Coturnix japonica: one gene and its partner. The protein of the gene in region 2 interacts with the protein of the main gene of each other region in a pairwise test. Links are inferred from orthologs where the notes say so. Each region holds a gene or a part of one and is shown on either strand. Other genes may lie near its edges.

Region 1 (9,891 bases), on a different chromosome or scaffold from region 2:
GAATCACAAAAGAAAGTTCATACACTATGCAAAATAAATAAAATTAAGTATTACCCACAATGTAATTATGTATTGGAAAAATACCCTAATAAAAATACTTGCAAATACATCCACAAGAGGTGCTCTGAAAGTAATGCCTCCAATTTTATTATATCAGCCCATAATATCAGAGGCAGATGGTGGTGGTATGGTTGAACCTTCCCACCTATCTTGTGTTACATTTTCTTACATTTTGTATTTTCATTAACATGTTTTTAAAGTGGCTTGTGGTTAGTGATACATAGTAGTTAGAAGCAATGCTAGGGCACATTATGTACCACTCTTACTGACTACTAGTTCAGTATGCTTACCTAGTTGTGGACAAGTTATGCATTTTTATAACCTTTCCAGAAAACAGTTTTCCTATTCAGCATAGAAATACCAGGAGATGCGTAAGTCTCAGAGAGGCTGTTGTAGTGCAACGCTGAATCAAAACCTCACATATTTAAAAAAGGCTATTCGAATGTCTACCCATCAACTGACATATTGTGATTGTAAGGGATATCAAACATTTCCATTAAAGACAATTTAAAAATACCCTCACATCCACCCATAACACTTTACTTGCTTTTATTCAAGTTTCAAGTGGAAAAAGGAAGAAAAACAAAACCTACTGAGTTTCTAAAGTTTCTGCAATGAGAAATTATTCTTCAATATAGAATGCAAAATATTACTGCTGAGTCAAGAGAGTTTTGTGTGAGACTATCATTAAATTGTCTGGTTCAAATTTAAAACAACAGATTTTTAAAGTCTGCACTATTTTCCCCTGTGAGAGTGCATTTCAGGAGACCAAAACCAAGCATCAATTTTTTTTTTACCTGAGAGAGTGAAGGAGAACAGTCCTGCCAGGACTACTGACAAAACACTGAAAAATATCTTACTAATGATACCAAGCAGGAGGCTTGAAATACATTTATGAAGAATGAAGGACCTGATAAAGTCTAATAACTAGAAGAAAATAAATATTCAAAACTTCTATTTATCTACCTAGAAAAGATTGCAGCTAATTTGAGTCTAGGATGAAGATGCTTAGCATGTGCTTAACACCACGTATTTGTGCTATTTGCATATATGAACATACAAATCTGTACAAATAAAAATGCATTCATCAGTTCATTCTGCAAAACTGAACTTCCTCCCTCCCTCCCTTCCCATTAGGATATCTAGTACATAGCACTTCATGTCCAAGCTGACTGCATTTAGTGTCAGGCATTAATATGGTAATTTTGAAGGAGGCATCATGAGTTCATTGTTATGGATGCAATGACAAAAACTCACCCTTTTCAATCTGGCTGCAGCTTCTCCAGAGCGGATTGCGGCCAGCAAGCTCTGGTGGATCTGTTCTGGGTCAGAGCGCTGGACTGGTGTTGAGGTTTGTCTCATAATGATAGGGCGTGGGTGGTCAGCTGAAGCACCTGACTGTGCCTGAATCTTTTGCTCACTGTTGCTTACATTGCTGCTTTTCTAGAAACGAAGGAAGTGAGAAGGACAAAACAAATAAATAAACAAAAATCCTTTAATGTTAATTAGCTAATTAGCAGCAAAGAAAAAACTATGTCAACTCACAGGAGGTCACATATCAGACTGTGCCACTATAAAATTTGATTTGTTCAAGATCTCAGGTATAAGCCCCATTTCTACTATAGCTTTGGGAAGTGATCTTCAATTTATCAGTAACAAAAAAGATATAAAAGCAACTTATGAAACTTACTAAAATGATAAAGTAATTCCTCCAAGATGAGTATGTGATACCACAAAGTGATATGATATGGAAAAAACATATTTCAAAAGGAAATATAAGTATAAAAATAATAAATCAAGCACTCAAAAACCTCATGATTTTATAACTTGAAATTATATCTTAAGTAAACAGGAAAGTATTCAAGTGTTACAACTGGTTGAGATCCATAGGTTTTTTGCTTGCTTTTTTCCCCCTGACAACTTGATTGGATTTTATTCCAAAATGTCACCATCTAAATTTAGGTCCTTTGACACCAACTATTGTAGCATAACTGAGCATTGCTTGAGAACTGAAATATCTAACAAAGATCAGTTATAAAGTATTCCCAGATAAATCTTGTTATTGCCGCAACATTTATTTTACTAATGCATCTGTATGGAAATCTAAATTTGACACAAAATATTCCAGAAGCCACTCTGAAAAGTCTGTCAAAGTATTCCGAACCACAAGCAGGAAGGAGGAGAAGCATTACTGTATTTTGAACCAAAGATTAGCCTCTAACTTCCATGCCTGAAGAAAACAGTCATAATAGAAACAGAAAGTTTTGGATAGTACTGCTGCTTGTCAGAATACTGCGGATCTGTACAGAAGATGCAAGACAGCCAGCATCTACACATCACAGACATATGGATATGCCAAGCTCCCAGAACCGCTTGAAACAGCTCTCTAAATTATAATATAGTTCCATCTACACATTCACAGAGGTAGTTTACACTGTATCAATACAGAACTTTCTGATAAGCAAACAGTTCAGAAAGAAGCCAAAGTCACTGCTCTGCTGATGATGACATCACAGCAGATCAAAGATAAAAAAAATATTATTAATAAACTTTACCTTATCCATCAGACTATTTTGTGGCCCTCCGATGACACTGTGTAAGGAAGGGGTTTTCACCTGAGGCATGGAGGTAGCTGAGGAGGATTCAGCTGCAGAAGAAGCAGATGAGAGTTCAACAGGACATTCTTCTCTTGGTGCCAGGCTAGAGACTGTACGCGTTTTATTGAATGACTGTGATCTTTTGACAGCTGAGGAGACAGCAAGTGCAAAAGGGGATGGCCTCGAACTGGAGTATGGCTTTGGAACTGCAAAAGTTCTTAGAGTTCTTAGGTTCAACGGTGCTGGCTGACAGGAGGGAGAACTTGGTGGTTTATTGTTTTTAACAGGAGAAGTGGAAGATTCAGTTCTTTTCCCATCATTATCTTTGTCTTCTACTGGCAGAGAGGAGCTACTTGTAGTAAGTAATGCAGTTTCATCAGGTGATGAGATTTTTTTTTCTAACTCTGTATTTTTAACTTCACTTTGAATGGAATTAGGAGCACAGATGGTATTCCTGGCAATTGCAGATGACACATAGTGACCTGAAACTCTTCGCTGCATTTGCAGATAAAACGAACTAGGCTTAGCTGTTGTAGGACTTAGAGCATTTGACTTCTCCTGAGTCTCAGAAGAAGCATTTGTATTACTTAAGGTTAGCACTGGTGGGACAAGCTGCTTCGATGATACTGTCTCTATTTGATTGACCTCGGAGGTAACCCTGGTTCCAGATGGCACCCCATGTTCAGAAGTGCTCTGCATTCTGTGCAGCAGATCATTTTTTGCAGTGGGTATATTTTGCAAACCAGTCTGTAAGTGACCTGTACTTTTGGGAAGATGAGGAATTTCAGTTTGCATTATTAATTCTTTGGGGTCTTCATACTCCAGAGTGTTTTTGGAAGCAGATACCTCTTGAGCCTTACTATCTGAAACATCTGATTCCCAGCTCTTCATTGTTTCCAAGGATTTTGGAGGAGGCACAATTTTATAAGTAGTCATTCCAATTTTTGGTATGTAATCTCTTGTAATTTCATTAGCAGGCTTCAGTTTAGGTTTCATGTCCTGCCTATAAAGAGGGTAACCCCTTATAGGAGACCCTTCTGGAGTTTTTGCAATCGTTTCTAGTGAAGTAACATTACTGCCATTTGTACAAATATGAATTTCATCTTTCATGGGTATTGCTTTCTCATATGAAACTTCTTGCCTCTGAAGATTTTGTTCTGTTGAAGTTTCTTCATCCTTATGTATTCCTTGCATCACCCGAAGACCAGGGTTGTTTGTGTCTGTATTGTGTTGATGGACCATTCTTTTGAATGTGGATGATTCATAGTCTTGAGGAACAATCATTTCTTTCTTTTCAGTCCTTCCCAAATTGCTAACCAATGGACCTGTCTGAATTGCAACATCATGAGTTTTTACAGTGTCCAGGCTGGTTTGACTTGTTTTCTGATCTTGCTTTCCTGGAATCATTTGAGTGTAATTGCTATGACTTATGGCAATGTCATTTTTAGATGCTTGGCAGTTTGATAGTCTGTCAGCTTCAAGCTTGCTGTTTTCGCTAAAATCTTCTGCTTTAATTTTTGCTGTCTGCTTTTCTCCCGCATCTTCATTTGTTGGGAGGAGTGTTCTGCTACTGTGATCTTTCAAAAAAGAGATTCCAGAAATTAATACAAATGCCAAAAAGGTTTAACCTTCCCATTAATATCACTAAGTTCTAAACATCCAACAAATGTAATGACAAGGACTAGCTCCTCACTGTTATTATTATTTTCCTTAACACTTATTTTAAAAACTATAGTTATATTTACCTAATATTACTGAATAACTCTCTTCTTACACAGATATTCTTCATTATCAGCCTTCTGGTGTCATGCATGAATTAATAACAAGCTACTACTGAATCATTTCAGTGCTAAGAAATTTCAGTTGATTATAATAGGAACCAGTAAGGTAAACTCTGTTCAGTCTATTCAGTATTAAGTTAGAAGCAATTTTTGTTTACTTCCATCTTTGTGGCTTCTGTTCCATGCTTTTAATATCACAAGTGTTTTGTTAACTTTACAACAACAAAAATGCAACCAATTCTTGTCACCTCATCTCAAGTTGGGATACACCAAAGGCACAGAAAGTATAAAGAAAATAATCTGATAATCACAATTCAAGAGGTGACAGCATTTTAGTTGTCTTTTTTCTTCAACAAAATGAGTGGGAACTACTCACCATGATTTTTATTTTGTTCCAAAATTCTAAGCTTCCTGTCTTTCTCAAATGCATCTTGGTCACTGCTTATCTGAGTCTGTAGTTCTCTGCAAAGCACAACAGTACATTAAATATGTTGGTATCATTCATTTCAGTAAACAGAAGAAAAGATGCAAGAGAACTGGCAATGTTCTCCAAACACAGATGGAGAAATCATTCTGCCAAACACTGGAGTACTAAACAAAATACATTTTTTTTTAAATGAGAGGAAATGCTGCTATGATATTTTACCAAAATGACATTCAGCTTCACTCTTATGTACACATAACGTGATCCATTTTCCTTTTCCTCTTTTTTTTTTTTTTTTTTGTTTATTCGTGCACTCTGAACAAGCCCCATTCTTAAAACTCAAGTTTCAGTGAATCACTCAGGCAATGGCTTATCATTCCTTAACAACATTCTCAGTGTGAAGTCTTATGACATCCTCCAACATTTACAACGTCTTTGATTTTTGTCTCCAGCATAATCTGCAGGGAGCAGCATGAGACACCAGCTGCATATGAACTGCGCAGTACAGACTTTTTGAAATACTAATGAAAGATGTTCTTTCCGTTTCATGAAATATCTTGAGAACAGCAAAGATATATGCATAAAATGTGTTACTTGCATACTAAACATTTTGCAAATGCATACAGTGTTTGTCCTATGATCAGAGGGGACAAAAGAACTATATAAGTACTGAAAAAACTCTCCTCTGTTTTCAGGAAATATTAAGTATTTGACTTCAAAATTTAAGTGAAAAATGCCAACATATTTAACATTTCTCATTTAAAAAAAAAAACAAAACTATCAGAACTTCAGCCTTCTATCTCAGTGATACTTTTATTTTCCGTAGTAACTAATACTGTCACTATGAAGATTCCAATTCATTTGCCACATCCAATGTTTTAGTTATCATTAGGAATCACTGCCATGAAACGAAGCATCTGCTTTGAATCATTTTAAATAATGAATAACCCATCCTCACGTTGCCTGTACAGTCTAAGACATATGGTAAGTGTCCAACAACTGCTAAAACAGAAGCTTTCAAAATTTGCTGGAAGAATGTTAAAGCTCAGTCCTGCCCTCTGTACTCTTGCCTATATTCACTCCCTCAAACAGAGCTAAGGGACTGAATGAAAACCATTTGCAATGGGCTGAACTGTTTAAAAACAAACCAAAAAAAGAAAGAAAATGTCACAAAGTGCCAGAGTATCAGAGCCACCAGACCTATCTTAGAAAAATCTGAATCACCAGAAGATTTTCATAAACAAATGTCAGAGAAACCCTCTAGCTCTCATTCTCATCACTGCGATATTTCACGAAGGAAGGGATTTCTAAACTTTGAAATTATGGTACAGTGCATACTAGATGATACACCAGTATTACAGGCCACAAGAGGCTGTTACAAGTCAGGGGAGAGCAGTGAGGAAATATCCCCATGACTGCTGTCCAAACTGGCACGGTAACACAAGTCTGATAATTTGCAAATCTGAGAGAACTTTGCTGAGGCACCCCCACACAGTTCCTCACAGAGCAGACACACCCAAGCAACTGACACAGTACTGAGGGGCAGAACACCAAGGAATTTGCAAAGACCTTCTTTGCTCTGAATTGACAGAAAGACCCTTGAAATGCAATTCTAAGCTCTCTATATTGCCTTCAACGTTTTTAGCTACTGTAGCATTCACACATTTTGGTTTTAGTATAATAATTGAAATAACTCTTGCAATTTAAATCAGGAACATTAGCAAGTTCAGCTGCCCCACAGAGCACATAAATAGTGAATTACATTAACACAAGGGGACCTCCCAGGACAATCAACATTGACTTGAACCAGGCAGTAACTCATGTTGGGAACCTGCAAATTAGAAAGTGGTTTAATAAAAATGCTGCAGGGCAAAGTTAGAGCATCACCAAAAAAGTGTGGTTAAGGAAAACAATGTGTCAATTCTTGTTTTTCCTGGGAGCAGACGCATCAAAATAGGTCAAGACAAGTGGCTAACATACGAAGAAAAAACCAAAAATATAGAGCAAGATAACAGATGAGCAATTGATCAGCATAGCAAATATACCTGTTTTCCTCCAACTATATGAATGAGCTTTTAAACGATAACTAACTCACTTCATTCCCCTCCACCCTATTCCCTTCCCCTCCTCAGCAAAGTGTTCTAGTAATAGTGCTAGATGTTTTAGAGATGGGTTCAGCTTTTCCGGAGTCTGGATGTTTCAGTAGTAAGAAAAAATGGTCTAACCAGAATAGCCAGCAGAATATTCTGTCATTTATGTTGAAAGGCTTCATGAGTTACTGTGTCCAGATATGTGCTACAACAAAAGCTAAGCATACTGAACTCATTCCTTTCTTACAATTCTCTATTTTATGCTCCACAATGAAACAGCACCCTGCATTTTATTTGCCTCCCCCATTCCTTCTCCAGTGCTCCTTTCTTTGTCACAAAGCGTACTTACTTGCCATCTGTGCTCATATTTTCTTGTTTTTCTTCCTCGAAGCTTTGTGAGTTGTCTACAGAAACAGTGCCAGCAACAGGAACTGATGAAGCACGATCATTTCTTTCAGTTTCCAGTGGTACCTCTGTAGAGCTGAAGGCTGCAGTAACCTCCCCTGTCCTGAGAGAGGTATCTGTACTTCCACTTTCCTCTCCCTCTTGCACACTCATCTCTTCCTTTTCATCAATTTCTTCCAGGCTGTATTCTGAGGTCCTGGCACCTAAGCTCACAAAGAAAAGAAAAAAAGAAAAGGAAACACACCTTCAGCATATAGATTAAAAAGGGACTGTGAAGCCGGCCTAAGCAGTTTCATGAAGGAAAACTGAGGGTCCTCTTCATAATATAGGGAGGGATGGGAAAAAAAAGAAGAATTAGTTTCAATTTCATAGTATTTTCTATGCTTATTGTCATGCCAATGTCCATCCATTTCTGCATCTGTAACTACTGTATGATGTTTCCCTTTGCTTAATTCAAGAACTGAATTAGTATAGATAAAAATACACATAACAAATATCATGAAGGCACGCAGTTTATTTCACCTGGATTTCTAACAACCTTCATTAGCTCTCGAGTGAGGTTTAAAATAAAGGAATCGTTTATATCACAGTAAGTACATTAGAGAACTTAGTCCATGTTTTGAACATGCCTGTTCATCACTATCAAAATTCTCCCATAGTCATCCCAAGGATATCAAAACACATTTAGATGAGTCTTGTGAACTGCCCCATGCAAATAAATAAATAAATAAATATAAGAAAAAATATATGGAAAAGCATTAATCCATAAAAATAATGGAATTTTCAGCTAGACCATGATGAAAAAGGATTAGTTTCTGGTTTAGGATACACAACACAGTGCAACTGATGTTAGACTAATAAACGCAGTATTTTTCTTTCCGGAGGGACTGTCTCTGGCTTTACTTTCCTGCCAGGAATCTTCCTACACCAACATGCTGATTCACATTTATCAAGTATTAATGGGTAGACCATACAATTAACCTCTCAGCTTTGCAACTCACATTCTGCAAAACAAACAACATAACAATAATTTCATCTATATAGGGCAATATGGTGACAGGGAAAGCTACTGGAAATAACAGAAGCTCATATGATCAGTGTATTCTGATCTGAGCAGAGTATTTCTGTTAGCTTTGCATCCATCAATACAAGGTACAGGCCTTGCAGTGGGCTGAATCAGCAAGTTTCAAAGCGCAATCCAACTCTAAACAAAAAGGCTAAGACTGAAAATAAAGTACTAGCTTGAAGCAAGCAATCCTGGAAATGGGCAGAACCCAGAGCATATTTCTTTAATAAGAAACATCCTAAACAGATTTTACTGTACAAAATATTATCCTGCAGCAGACCCATTACTTCTACAGAAGTATCACTAAAGAAAGAAAATAAAAACAGAACTGTTCGTGATTCAGAGAAACTCTTCACTGAGAACAAAAGCACTTTTTGTTTCTCAGTAATTAATTTTCAGTAATAGCATTACTGAACTCATTCACAGCTGCAGAGCAACTACTAAAGTAAGAAAAATTTACTATTTAATTCTAGTTAGTTTTTCACAGTGCTCTTTTGTGATAATGCTTTGCAGCTGCAGACTAGGCACTGTCATCACTAAGTCATGGAGCTGAGCGTAGAAGTAATCTCGATCTCCAAGGAAAGAGGAGCAAGATTGCAAAACGGTGCAGGTGAACCTCCTTCCACATTACTTAAGCACATGTGCTTATATATCAAAGGGATTTGATTCCTTAGACTTCATAACCACCAAGGCCCTTTTCTCTTCCTCCCTCCCTCACCCACAAGTATTTGATCTCTAAATTGGGGTAAAATCATACAAGCAGCCAAATGTCCTGGGAGATTTCAGTGACAGCAGAATACTGGCAAACATCAAATGTGCTGAGACTAACCTACAAGACCACATCTTCCTCACAGGTGACAACTACTATGCTTGAAAATGAGTGAAAACTATTACAATTGATAAGTGGCCTTGCAGCATCTGAGAGGTTCAGGTTAGTTCCTAGATGCTCGAGCCATCAATAACCGACATGTTATTGGAACCACAGAACAAAGACTAAGACCTTCAGTCTAATACTTCATGGAATCTTGACTTTTATAATAAAGCACAGCCAGGACTTCTAACAAGACAAACAGAATAATTCTGGAGTTGCTATGGCTTTGTGCCTAGTCAATGCAGTTATCTCTGTCATTCTTGCTCTGAAGAAGCATAACAAAGGTGAAGTTTATATTTCTACACTGATGGGATGAGAACTAAGTTTGGGTGGGTAGGAGATCATACTGACTTTCATCGAAGTCCATCCCTTTGGACATGCTAGGATCACTTCCAAATCTAAACTACAAATATACAATTCCAAACAACAATAAAAACAATAAGCAAACCTACATATTTATAAAGTTCTCTCTCTACTGCATTGTCAGCAGAGTATCAGACTTACTTAGAGTTAGTTTCTACTAGCAGTTATAAGTCTGTGACTGTTACTAGCAGATCTGGGCTGCCAGTGCTGCAGCAGAATGAAGTGTTTATATAC
Region 2 (10,389 bases):
GGGGGGGGTCCCATGGAACCCATAGGCACGGTGCCCCCCAGGCTATGGGGTACCGCAAGGTTTTGCTGCAGCTCAGCATTCAGTGCTGTTATTTGGGTTTGAGCTGCAGCTTTGGGGGTTATTTTTGGCTCTGCATCGCTTTCAACGTTGCTGCCTGGTTGCTGCTCTCCTGCCATGCACCCGGACACACAAACATGCAGACATGCAGACATGTGTGTGTGTACTCCGTGCAGCCAGACCTGTGCTCGATGCCCACCGCCCAGGCAGCAGCGCAGCCCCCCCATCCCCTCCATCACTTCGCATTGAGGTGGCTGGTGGTGATGCCCGGTGGCTGAGCACAGTGTGGGTGAGCTGCCAGCCCCAGCTGGGTGCTGTCATTGGGAACCCTGAGCAATGCAGCTCTGCATCCCTGCCCTGAACCACCCCAAAAGCCACCAGAGGGTTTTGCAAACTGCAGCAGTGAAGTTTGTCTGAGCTCGTGCCCCTGCAGATGCTGCTGTGTCCTTGGGTTGCTCCCACAGCCTCAGCTCCCCCTGCACCTCTCCATCCTCCCCAGCAGCCTGCTCAGTGCACAGCTCAGCTCTTGAGACGCAGCTCCTGCTGCTGCAGTGGGTCTCTGTCCCTGTGCAGGTGCTGGGTTCTGGGATGCAGGCGCTGACCCCATGCAGGCAGGAGGTGCTGCAATGCAGAGGGCTGGCACTGCTGATGCTGTGGGCACAGGAGCTGGGAATCCCCACAGTTGTATCAGTAGGAGCTGCTTGAACCAGGCTGCACCCCCCATGCTGGGGCTGGGGATAGAGAGGGTGGCATCACAACCACATTCACTATCAGTGGGTTTGCTACATCCACTGAGCAAAGCAGATCTGAGCCCTGCTGCAGGGCTGAGAGTGCTGATGGGGTCGGTGCCATGCCAGGATTAGCCTTAGTGCCAAACCCTCCTGCAAAGTGTCCCAGCCCTGATGCAGCCCCTCAGTGCTGCCCGAGGACCTCATCTGCAGGAGCACGTGAGCAGGGCAGGATGCAATGTGCTGCGTGCTGTTGTCATGTAGCTCCTTGGTGGCTCCCAGCAGGGCCATCAGTACAGCAGAGAGCCCTGGCAATTCAAAATGAGCTAATTGTCTGGGCTGGTCTTATTGCAATTAAACGCAGGGTCCTGGCTTGTCACAGAACACCCTTCCAAGCAGCTGTAATGTGAAATAGGTGCTGCATTTTGGTTTCCTCCTGCAAGGAGCCTGGGGGTGCATGTAGGGCTGTACTGGGAGGGATTCAGGCTGCATTTCAGCAGCCCCAATTTGGCTGCAGGCAGCTGATATCCTCACCCCTATTGCTGCTAATTGCAAATGGTGGGTGCAGCACTGGTGGCCTCGGTGCCACATGAAAACCACTGTAGCTGAAGACAAACAGAACAGCAGTGCCAAGAGCAGGGCCCCACCTCATGCACACTCATTGCACCAAGGAATGGACACAGGGTGCTTCTCTATGGGGTTCCAGACATGGCAGTGCTGTGGGGCTGGCTGGGGGGTAACGCACACAGCACATCCATGGGGCGATGTGTGGGTAATGCTGGGAACTTCTGAGGTTCTGTTCCACTGAGCCCTGTGCAGGACGTGCCCATGGCAGCGCCTTGTCCCAGCCCAGGGGGAGCAAGGACAGGAGGGGACGGGTCCAGCGAGCAGACCTGCAGCTTCCTCCAAACAGGAGCATTTGTAAAGGAGGTTCATTGGAACAGGATTGCTACAAGAGCCCCACGTCCCATTTGTGGACAGCAGGGAGCCCACCTGGCTGGGATGGGGCTGGGATGGGGCTGGGATGGGGCTGGGATGGGGCTGCGTGCTGCCAGTGCTGCCACATTGCATCACCAGGGCAGTGCTTTTTGCTCCAGGACCTGGCAGCAATCAGCTTCACATTCTGTGTGCTCTGTGTGCAGAAATATTCCTCCTCCTCTCCCCAGCGTTATCTGGCTGAGCACGCAGGACACCCATCAAAGTCTTCCAAGGGATTTTACAAGCCTTGCTCAGATTTCTGGAAGTTATGCATGGCATTTGCAGATAACAGCAGTGTTTCTCTCCGGGGGAGCTTGCAGCCAGAACAGGTACAGCGGATGTGCCAGGAATGTGGATAGACACCAGTGGAGATCTGGAGCAGGATTGTCAGCCCCATAATGTGCTCAGGCCTGGGGAAGGGAAACTGCTCTGAGCCTCAGTTGCTGGGGTTCCAACTTGCCTTGCAGCTCTGCGGCTCTTCTCAGCCTGCCTTCTTAGCTCGCTGCTGTAAACAAGGATGCTCTGCCTCTTGAGTAGGGATTTTTGCAGTCCCAGGAGTGGGGTTGAGATGGAAATCCAAATATGTGCTTTGCAATTAAGCCGAGAAGTGCTGGAGGATGTGGGGGTGCTGACCCCTTGCTTCCATATGAGGGACGGGGGAGGCAGAGCAATGTGTGCTTGAGGGGGGGTCCCATCCAGGGCTGGCATCCCCCTCCTCCTGCCAAGGGCTGGCAGTGATGGAAGTGGAACGGGGCTGCCATGGGGCTGCCATGGGGCTGCCATGGGGCTGCCAGGTGCCTGGGGTTTGGCTGTTAGTGGTGGGGGAAGAGACTTGGGTATGGGTGGGGGTCTCAGTGAGGGGGAAGGAAACAGGGAGAAGCTGGGGGGAAGGCAATTAAAGGAGGGGTTCAGCAACAGGGTGAGGGGCTCATCTGGGCAAGGAGACAGTGATGGTGGGGGCAACACGAGTCCTCATCCCTCCGGACCATTGGAGCAGCCGGGGAAACTGAGGCACGTCCCTGGTAGCGCAGCAGGGTCACAGCCCCAGCACCATCACGGACACACAGGGGAACTGAAGGTCACGTGTGCATCCCCCCAGCTCACATTGATGATCAGGTACATCATACCCTGCCCTGGGGGGTGAACATAAACCAGCTCCTCGCAACACCCCCCTGACCCCCCCATGCACACAAGGCACCCCAAGCATCCCGCAGCTCCATCCCCCTGCCTGTCCCCCGTCCGTCCCCAGGCTCCCTGCAGTGAAGCACCGCAGGGGCTGCCTCTTACCTGGGCCGGGCTGTGTGGCTGCAGGGGGCTCGGGGGGGTTCGTTGGGACGCTGCGTTGCGCTGCGCTCAGCACCAGCCGGGCAGCAGCACCGTGCACGGCCACGGGAGCGCGCCCAGCCTGCAGCCTGCAGTCGTCAAGGCAACCAGGGATGGAGCCGATGCTTAAAAGGTTGCAAAAACCATCCAGGGAGGATGTGGACCCCCCCCTTCCCCCCAATATCCACATGCCTCGGCATCAGGTTTCTTAGGAAGCAGGAAGGGCAGGTGTTTGCTGCGCCTTGTGTGCACACCTGGGGCTGTAGGGTGCTCAGCACACACTCGTCACAGTGCAAGGTGATGTGCTCCTGGGGCACAGTGGGTGCTGGGCTATGGGGGCACACAGCAGCACCTTGTGTCCGGTCCCATTGGTGCTGCAGGGCTCCAGGAGGGCTGGGAACAAGTTCTTATCAGCCTCCAGCTGTGCTGCAGTGTTGCTCTGTCCTTGGGATCCTTGGGATCCTCATGCAGCAGGTGCAGGGCAGCAGGATGGGATGGAGCAGAGCTCTCCCTCCACTCCTCCCCCTGGTGCAGTGGGGAGGGTTTCATGGCTGAGCTCTTATAGAAACAAACACCCCAGAACACCTTTGGAGATGCAGCTGGTGCCGCCTCGCTGCCAAATGTGCCAGCAGGGAAGGAGCTGGTGCAAGAGCTACATAGAAACATGGGATGGGGAAGGGGCAGAGTAGCTGCACCCCATGAGCTGCTGCACCCCATGAGCTGCTGCTCCAAGGCCATGGAGCCAGGCAGTGCCTCCTCCCAAACCCCAGGGTTGTGTCTGGGCATTCATCCCATTGTGCCACATCCGTGAGCCCTATGGGCAGCAGCAGCTGGAGCCATGGTGCGGGTGGGCTCTCCCACTCCCCATTGCCTGCGTTTTCCCCCAGCTCGGGGTGATGTCAGGGAAATTCAAAGCTGGCAGGAGACGAACGGCTCGGGCTGAGTAACCGAAGCCGCCCACAGGAGCTGCAGTAATGAGGCTGGCTGCTTGTCGGGCTGCAGCTGCCCAGATCGGGTTGCCCACAGAATGCAACCCGCTCCCATGAGGCTCAGCCTGGATCAGCTTTCCCCTAATGAGCGCCTTCCATTCCTTAATGAAGCTTGGTGGGTCTGTGTGCCATCTGAGCACGTCTTCCAACCTTTAGCAAGCCAGAAAGGTCCTGAAATATTTCAGGGCTCTGTGCTGGCTGCAGGGGAGGAGGCAGCGTGAGACCCAGGTGAAATAATGCTGCCCCAACACAGAGCGGGGGGGCTCAGGCTCCTGCAGCATCATTTGGTCTTTGCTTTTTGCCATTTCAGGGTCCTCAGCCCCGGCAGCATCTGGGCACAGGGGAGCAAATGCTCTTGGCATTAAACACTGGGGGGTGGTGGGGGATTCCAGTGACCCTGTGATACATGGAGCCCTGCAGTTCAGAGCCCTGCAGTGAGTGCCAGCTGGATGCTGTGGCACAAACAAGGCCATGACAAACCCTCCCCCATTGTGCACCATCCCAGCGGTCACTATTTCCTGCAATAACTCATTTCCCCCTTCAATAAAATGAGTTTCCCCATGGGAAGCAGCGGGCAGTATTGGCAGGAAATTAGCCTTGATTTATGTGGCTTCTTGGCACTCTGAAATTAAGATTCTTCGAGCACCACGGTGAACTGAGAAGCAAATCATCCTGACTGCACTGCTGGTGCAGCAGCCCCATGTTTGTGCCCTGCATCAGCTACAGATGTGCTGCAGGTCCCAGGAACACTCCGGCTTGCTGGGAGAATGCAAACACGAGGCTATTTTGCATCTCTAATTAGCATCGGAGGATAATTGGCCCCTCTGCAGCAGTTATGCAGAAAGCCGGTCATTGTGAAGGGCCCCCGACGTGGGGCAGGTGCTGCCAGCAGCCCAGCTCCCACCACAACAATCCCCTTTTTGTCTGCCCATACCCAGCCCCAAGGCGGCCTGTGAGCCCCTTCCGGGGCAGGGGCCGGGACATAAAGGCTCCTTTTTATTGGGAAAATGCCTGTGTGTGGGGTCTGCTGTGGGCAGCAGCTGGGAGCAGCGTGTCCCTATTGCTCACAGCCATGGCAATGTTGGGGTCGCTGCCTCCTTTCCCCCCTGCTGCTGTGCCCCATAGGGGAAGTGCCTTCTCCAAGGCTCCTCTATTTGCCTTCATGCCGTTGCACAAGCACTGCCCTGCTCGCTGCCCCACCGGGGACAAAGTCTGTCCATGGGGCAGAGCTGCACGTGAGGCTCCTGCAGCCACCCGGGCTGCCTTTCCTCAATCCCTTTAGTTAAATCCATCCCACACAGGAAGAGGCAGCGATGGCCAAGAGGGGCAGGAGGGGATGGGGACACGGCTGCGAGCACCCAGAACAGGCTCAGTGCTGTCAGCAGCAGCCCTGGCATTCAGCCACTGATAAATTCCCCTTTGCAGCGTTAATCTCCTTCCCAAGCCTCTCCTCTCCCTTTTCCAGCTCTCATCCCTGAGCTGAGGAGGAGTGGGGATACAACACATCCTCACCACCAGCAGTGCCACCATAGTCCTGCCTACCCAGAACTGCTGCATGGGGTTGTTTGTTGCCTTGTGAGCCCCCAGCTGCAGGAGCCACATCTCAGTGTAAGGTCACCGTGCCCCACAGCTCAGGGGCAGCCCATAGTGCAGGAACTGCTGTGTCCCATATCTGTGATCTGTGGCAATGCAGCACCCAGCGGGAGCAGCTCGGGGAGGCTGCAGGAGGAGCACAGCTCTAATCCGTTTAGCAAAGTGCTTGCTTGGCTGTTTGTGAGCAAGGAGCAAGAATGGCAGAGAGGAGATGTGTGCAGAGCAGCGGGATGGGAAGGACAAGGGCAGCAATCCTGGTCAGGGCGTGGGGCCAGGAGATGCGTTTCTCCCCTGCAGTCATTGCTGCATCCCTGGGTCTGCTTTTCCCCTCCTCGTCCTATCGGTGACCCATCCTGGTTCTTCTAAAGGAGCAATTCTTTGCACCCAGTGCTGAGGATCCTGAATTTCTCACCGGGCAAGTCAGAGGATGCCAAGCGCACAGCAAGGAGGCAGAGGGAAGATGAGCACAATCGTTCCGTTTGCTCAGCGCTGACAGCCCTGACAATTGCAGGCTGTTCAGGGCGGCTTTTTGGCTCCCAGCCCTCTTTTATCCATTGTGGGGAGCTGGAGGGACCCCGTTCCTGGTGCGGGATGCTCTGCGGGTTCTCCATGGAGCAGCACAATGGTGCCAGCCCCCAGCTGACAGAGTGAGCCTGGCCTTGGGGCACTCCTGGGGCTGTTATTGAGCTGATGCAGCTTTTGCATAACGTATAGAGCGGGGGCGAGCCACGAGATGCCACAGAACCTCAGATGAGACCCACCTGACAGCAGCCCCCCGAGCTCAGGCACAAGATAGTAAGCAATCCCCAGTCCTAGAGAAGTTTGGCAATGTCATAAACCAGGCAGCACTGAGCTGCTATGCCAGAATCTCACCTCCCAGGTCCAGGAGCATTACAGGGCTGACACCTCCACCAGGGTGCACAGCAACACGCCGATACCAAGCGTCCCATCCATACAGCAGGGCCACCACCATCCCCATCACCCACCGCCCACCGGGAGCCCCCCACTGCCAACATCTGGAGCCAGAACATGCCGGGAGCCCCGGGGACGCGTCGGTACCTTGGGCAAAAGGCTGCAGGGCCCATGGGAGGGCACGGGGAGGGCGCTGGGCTGCGGATGCTGGGCGGCACTGGGGGTGGCCGGGGTGATGGCTGGGAACCCAGAGGCTCCGTCTCACTCGGGCTGGTTCTGCACATTGGGAGGAAGGTCACGGCAGATGGGGAGGAGGGGGTAAAGATCAGCACGGAGATTACAGAGGCATTTTTAGCCAGCCAATCGCCACCCCGGCTCGGCATAATGACTCCTTCGCAGCACAAGGTGAAAACGTTACCGCAGGAGCAGCGAAGAATAAGCTCGGGTGGCTGCGGGGGGGTCCTCAGCCTCATTGCACACTGTGCTGTGAGCTGACACCTCCCCACGCTCTTTCCTTCTCCTCCATCCTATGGCTCACAGCCCCTGTTCCTTCCCTTCTCCCTGTGTGATGTGGGCAGACCTGAGGTTGCCCCCTGGTCTGATGGAGGGATGCACCTAATGGAGCCTCCACCCATCTCCCCTGGGGTGCTGAGACCTCCAAGCAGCCTTAAGTGCTGGGTGCTGTGTGGGGTATGGGACACAGCCTGCGTCCTGCCATCCTGCTCTGCCTCTGCCCTCAGCAAACCCCATCCAGGACCAAGGGAACACAGTGGGATCAGAGAGTGTTAGTGTTGTGCTGAGCAGCGTGGTGTGAGCGGAGCTGTGTGTGCTGGAGCCCCAGATCCCAGCACAAGGAGCTGCTGGGAGCTCGTTGTGCTGGAACCACGAGCCCTTTGCTCTGCAGGGAGCAGCGTGGGTGGAACTCACTTACACACTCATTTTGCTCCCTGGGATCCCAGCCAGAGCTTTACAGCCCGGCTCCAAAGGGCAGCACTGACTGACCAGCTCCTCACGGCTCTGCCTGCAGTAAGGGCTGATGGCAGCAGGGCTCAATGTGAGCACACAGAGCAGCAGGGAAAGCCCTGCTGGAACATCCCCTGTCCTCCATGTGTATGAATACAAAGGCTGCTCGTCCCCATTATGAGGCTGCATGGGGGCACCCAGGGAAGGCCATGGGCTGCTGTCAGGGTGAATGCACGGTGACTGCTGTACTCATAGCAATAGGAAGCCATGGCCAAGCCCTGCTCTGTGGCTCCTGGTCCCCCCTGTGCCACCAGCCCCATAGTATGGCCTGAGCCCTGTGCTAATCCACGGGGGATGATCCCAGCCATCAGCACTGTAAATCCCATTGCTGTGTGACACATGTGGGAGCTGCAGGGGATGGAGCTGAGCTCCATGGCTGCCCCAGCGCCCATTTAATGTCAGGGATGCTGAGGTTAAAGGGCTAATTCCTATCAGGCATCACTACGGACACCTTTCTCGGTGACCTGACTGGGGGCCTTGCGCACCTTGCTACAGGCAGCGCGGTGGACACCCTCAGCGCTTGGGGGGGCCTTCGGGAGGCCGGAAGTGAGAGCGCGGCGCATGCGTGTTCCTTTCCGCTCTCGGCCCCGCTGAGACTGTCACGGTGAGGCAGCGCTCCGGGCCTACATCGGGCTCGGATCGGGCTTGTATCGGCTCCATCCGCGGGCGGAGCCGTGAGGCAGCACCGGGACAGAACGGGGGAGATCAGGCCCGGCCCATCCGCGGCGATATTTCCGGGATCGGGGGGATCTGGGCCCGGGATGGCGAGGCGGAAGGCCTGGGGGGGCAGTAGGCCGCAGTAGGCCGCGGGAGGCCTTAGGCCGGCAGGGTGGGCCGCGGGGCGCTAAGGGCCGGGAGTTGTGATTCATTGGGAATAGGCAGGATTTAGTGCTGTTTGTCCTTTAGATGTTGATGCCCAAGAAGAACAGAATTGCCATCTACGAGCTCCTCTTTAAGGAGGGAGTGATGGTGGCCAAGAAAGACGTCCACATGCCGAAACACCCGGAGCTCGTCGATAAGAATGTGCCCAATCTCCATGTGATGAAAGCCATGCAGGTACGGAGGTGAGGGCGAAATGCTGGGTCTGGGCCATAAGATACTGTGTATAGCAGATACCTGTGGGTAAATGTTGCTGCTTGTTACCAAATAACATTGTTATAGTCATCATTTCTTTCCTATTCCAATAGTCCCACTATTTACTTGATCTGTTCTCCACAGTCTGTTGAAGACTTTTGGTGTGATCCACATCTCTAGCTCTTTTCTTCAAGCTCTGATGCATTTGTATGTGGTATCATTATATTTCCTGCATGTGCACTTAGATTATTGCCCCATGTCTCTGATAAACCTGACGTAACTGAGAATTCTCTCTCCAGTCTCTGAAATCCCGTGGTTATGTGAAAGAGCAATTTGCTTGGAGGCATTTCTACTGGTACCTGACCAACGAGGGCATCCAGTACCTGCGCGATTACCTGCACCTTCCCCCTGAGATCGTCCCTGCAACCCTGCGCCGCAGCCGCCCCGAGACCGGCAGACCACGGCCCAAAGGTAAAATGGGGTTGGGAAGTGGCAGCAGAAGGAAGCAGAGGGTGAGGGTTGTGTGTGTTAGACAATGTAGGTGAGGTTAGTCAGGTGGATGTATAAACTAATAGATGATGCGTCGTTATGGGTTTAGTTGTGTTTATATTTGGCACTAATACTGGAGTACTGAAGATTTGGAGGTGGCTAAAGAAAGTTGTGAGTGAGGGAAGCACACAGAGCTTTCCTGCTGGTAACACAAGGGAGTGGAGCCTCTGAGATCCGGCCCATTGACACTGCAGGCTGTGGATCGAGGGGACAGGTGGTGGCTGGAGCTTTCAAAGGGCAGAGCACACAGACCACTGCAGTTCTCCATCAGGAAGATGGCGTGTGTGTTCTCTGTCAGTCCAGCAGATACAGAGAACCTTGGCTCTACTAGAAGTATCCATAGAAAAGCTCCTTGGGAGGCCAGGGTTGCCATTGTAGGGAACAAACAGCAGCCAGGCTGGGCTGTGAGGTTCAGTGATGAAGAATGAGGGCTGAGCTTTGGTGCTGGACAATTCTCTGGTACCTGGGATGAAGCTGGTAGCCCAGTCAGCAGGTTCTGGGCCCTGTGATCAGGATGGAGGCTGTGGGCATGTTGTGGTGAGGAGGTTTCTTTGATCTCTCAGCTTTGGGTGTTACCCAGTGTAAGCTGTGTTTATCCAGAGAGCTGGAGTGACTGCGGATCTGATGAAAGCTTTTGTAGTTCCATGGCTAAAATTTGTCTTTTTTGGTGCTTTCATGCAATGCTCCCAACTTTCTCAAGTGACACTTTGGTAAACAGGCTGGAACATTGAGTCTAAAGCAGAGTTCAGTATCACATCTGGCCATAGCTGTGTCTTACTGCCTGAGCATCGAGACCTTGGTCTGATGCTGTGGGAGAACATTTAATCTTTGATATTGTGGGGGAAATCCATGAGTTGCACAGAAACAGGCAGTTCCACCGCGTCCGTTTCTTTCCTGCAAGTATTCTGTCCAATTTTAATCTGATGTTACATAGATAATCTGCTCTTAGCTTTATTAATCTATTCTGCTGCAGAGGATTTGTAATACTGATAGTAGTACTTTAGATGGGGCTCAGAATGCCGTGCAGGTTGTGACACAGTGAAGTACAGCCCTGCCAATTGTGACAGATTCCCTGCACTCCTGGCTTTTTATAGTAATTATTGGTCCTTGGGATAGTTGTAGCTGTGTTGGATGCTGTACATTCAGTTTTTACACTGTTGATG

Evidence for each region.
Region 1: the proteins of PACSIN1 (region 2) and COBLL1 interact in binary tests that used the Homo sapiens proteins (3 or more experiments, as listed by UniProt). The link is inferred for Coturnix japonica from reciprocal best matches to the Homo sapiens genes PACSIN1 and COBLL1.

The regions. Positions count from the first base shown.
Region 1 is NC_029522.1:26,490,121-26,500,011, forward strand, and holds part of COBLL1 (cordon-bleu protein-like 1), read right to left. Parts: intron 7,561-9,891; coding exon 7,302-7,560; intron 4,901-7,301; coding exon 4,815-4,900; intron 4,235-4,814; coding exon 2,616-4,234; intron 1,504-2,615; coding exon 1,318-1,503; intron 1-1,317.
Region 2 is NC_029541.1:4,226,387-4,236,775, forward strand, and holds the start of PACSIN1 (protein kinase C and casein kinase substrate in neurons protein 1), read right to left. Parts: upstream 6,867-10,389; 5' UTR 6,728-6,866; intron 3,174-6,727; exon of another isoform or gene 3,051-3,173; intron 1-3,050. Other genes in the region: RPS10 (40S ribosomal protein S10), read left to right, coding at 8,510-8,659, 8,977-9,148. UniProt on the Homo sapiens protein: Plays a role in the reorganization of the microtubule cytoskeleton via its interaction with MAPT; this decreases microtubule stability and inhibits MAPT-induced microtubule polymerization.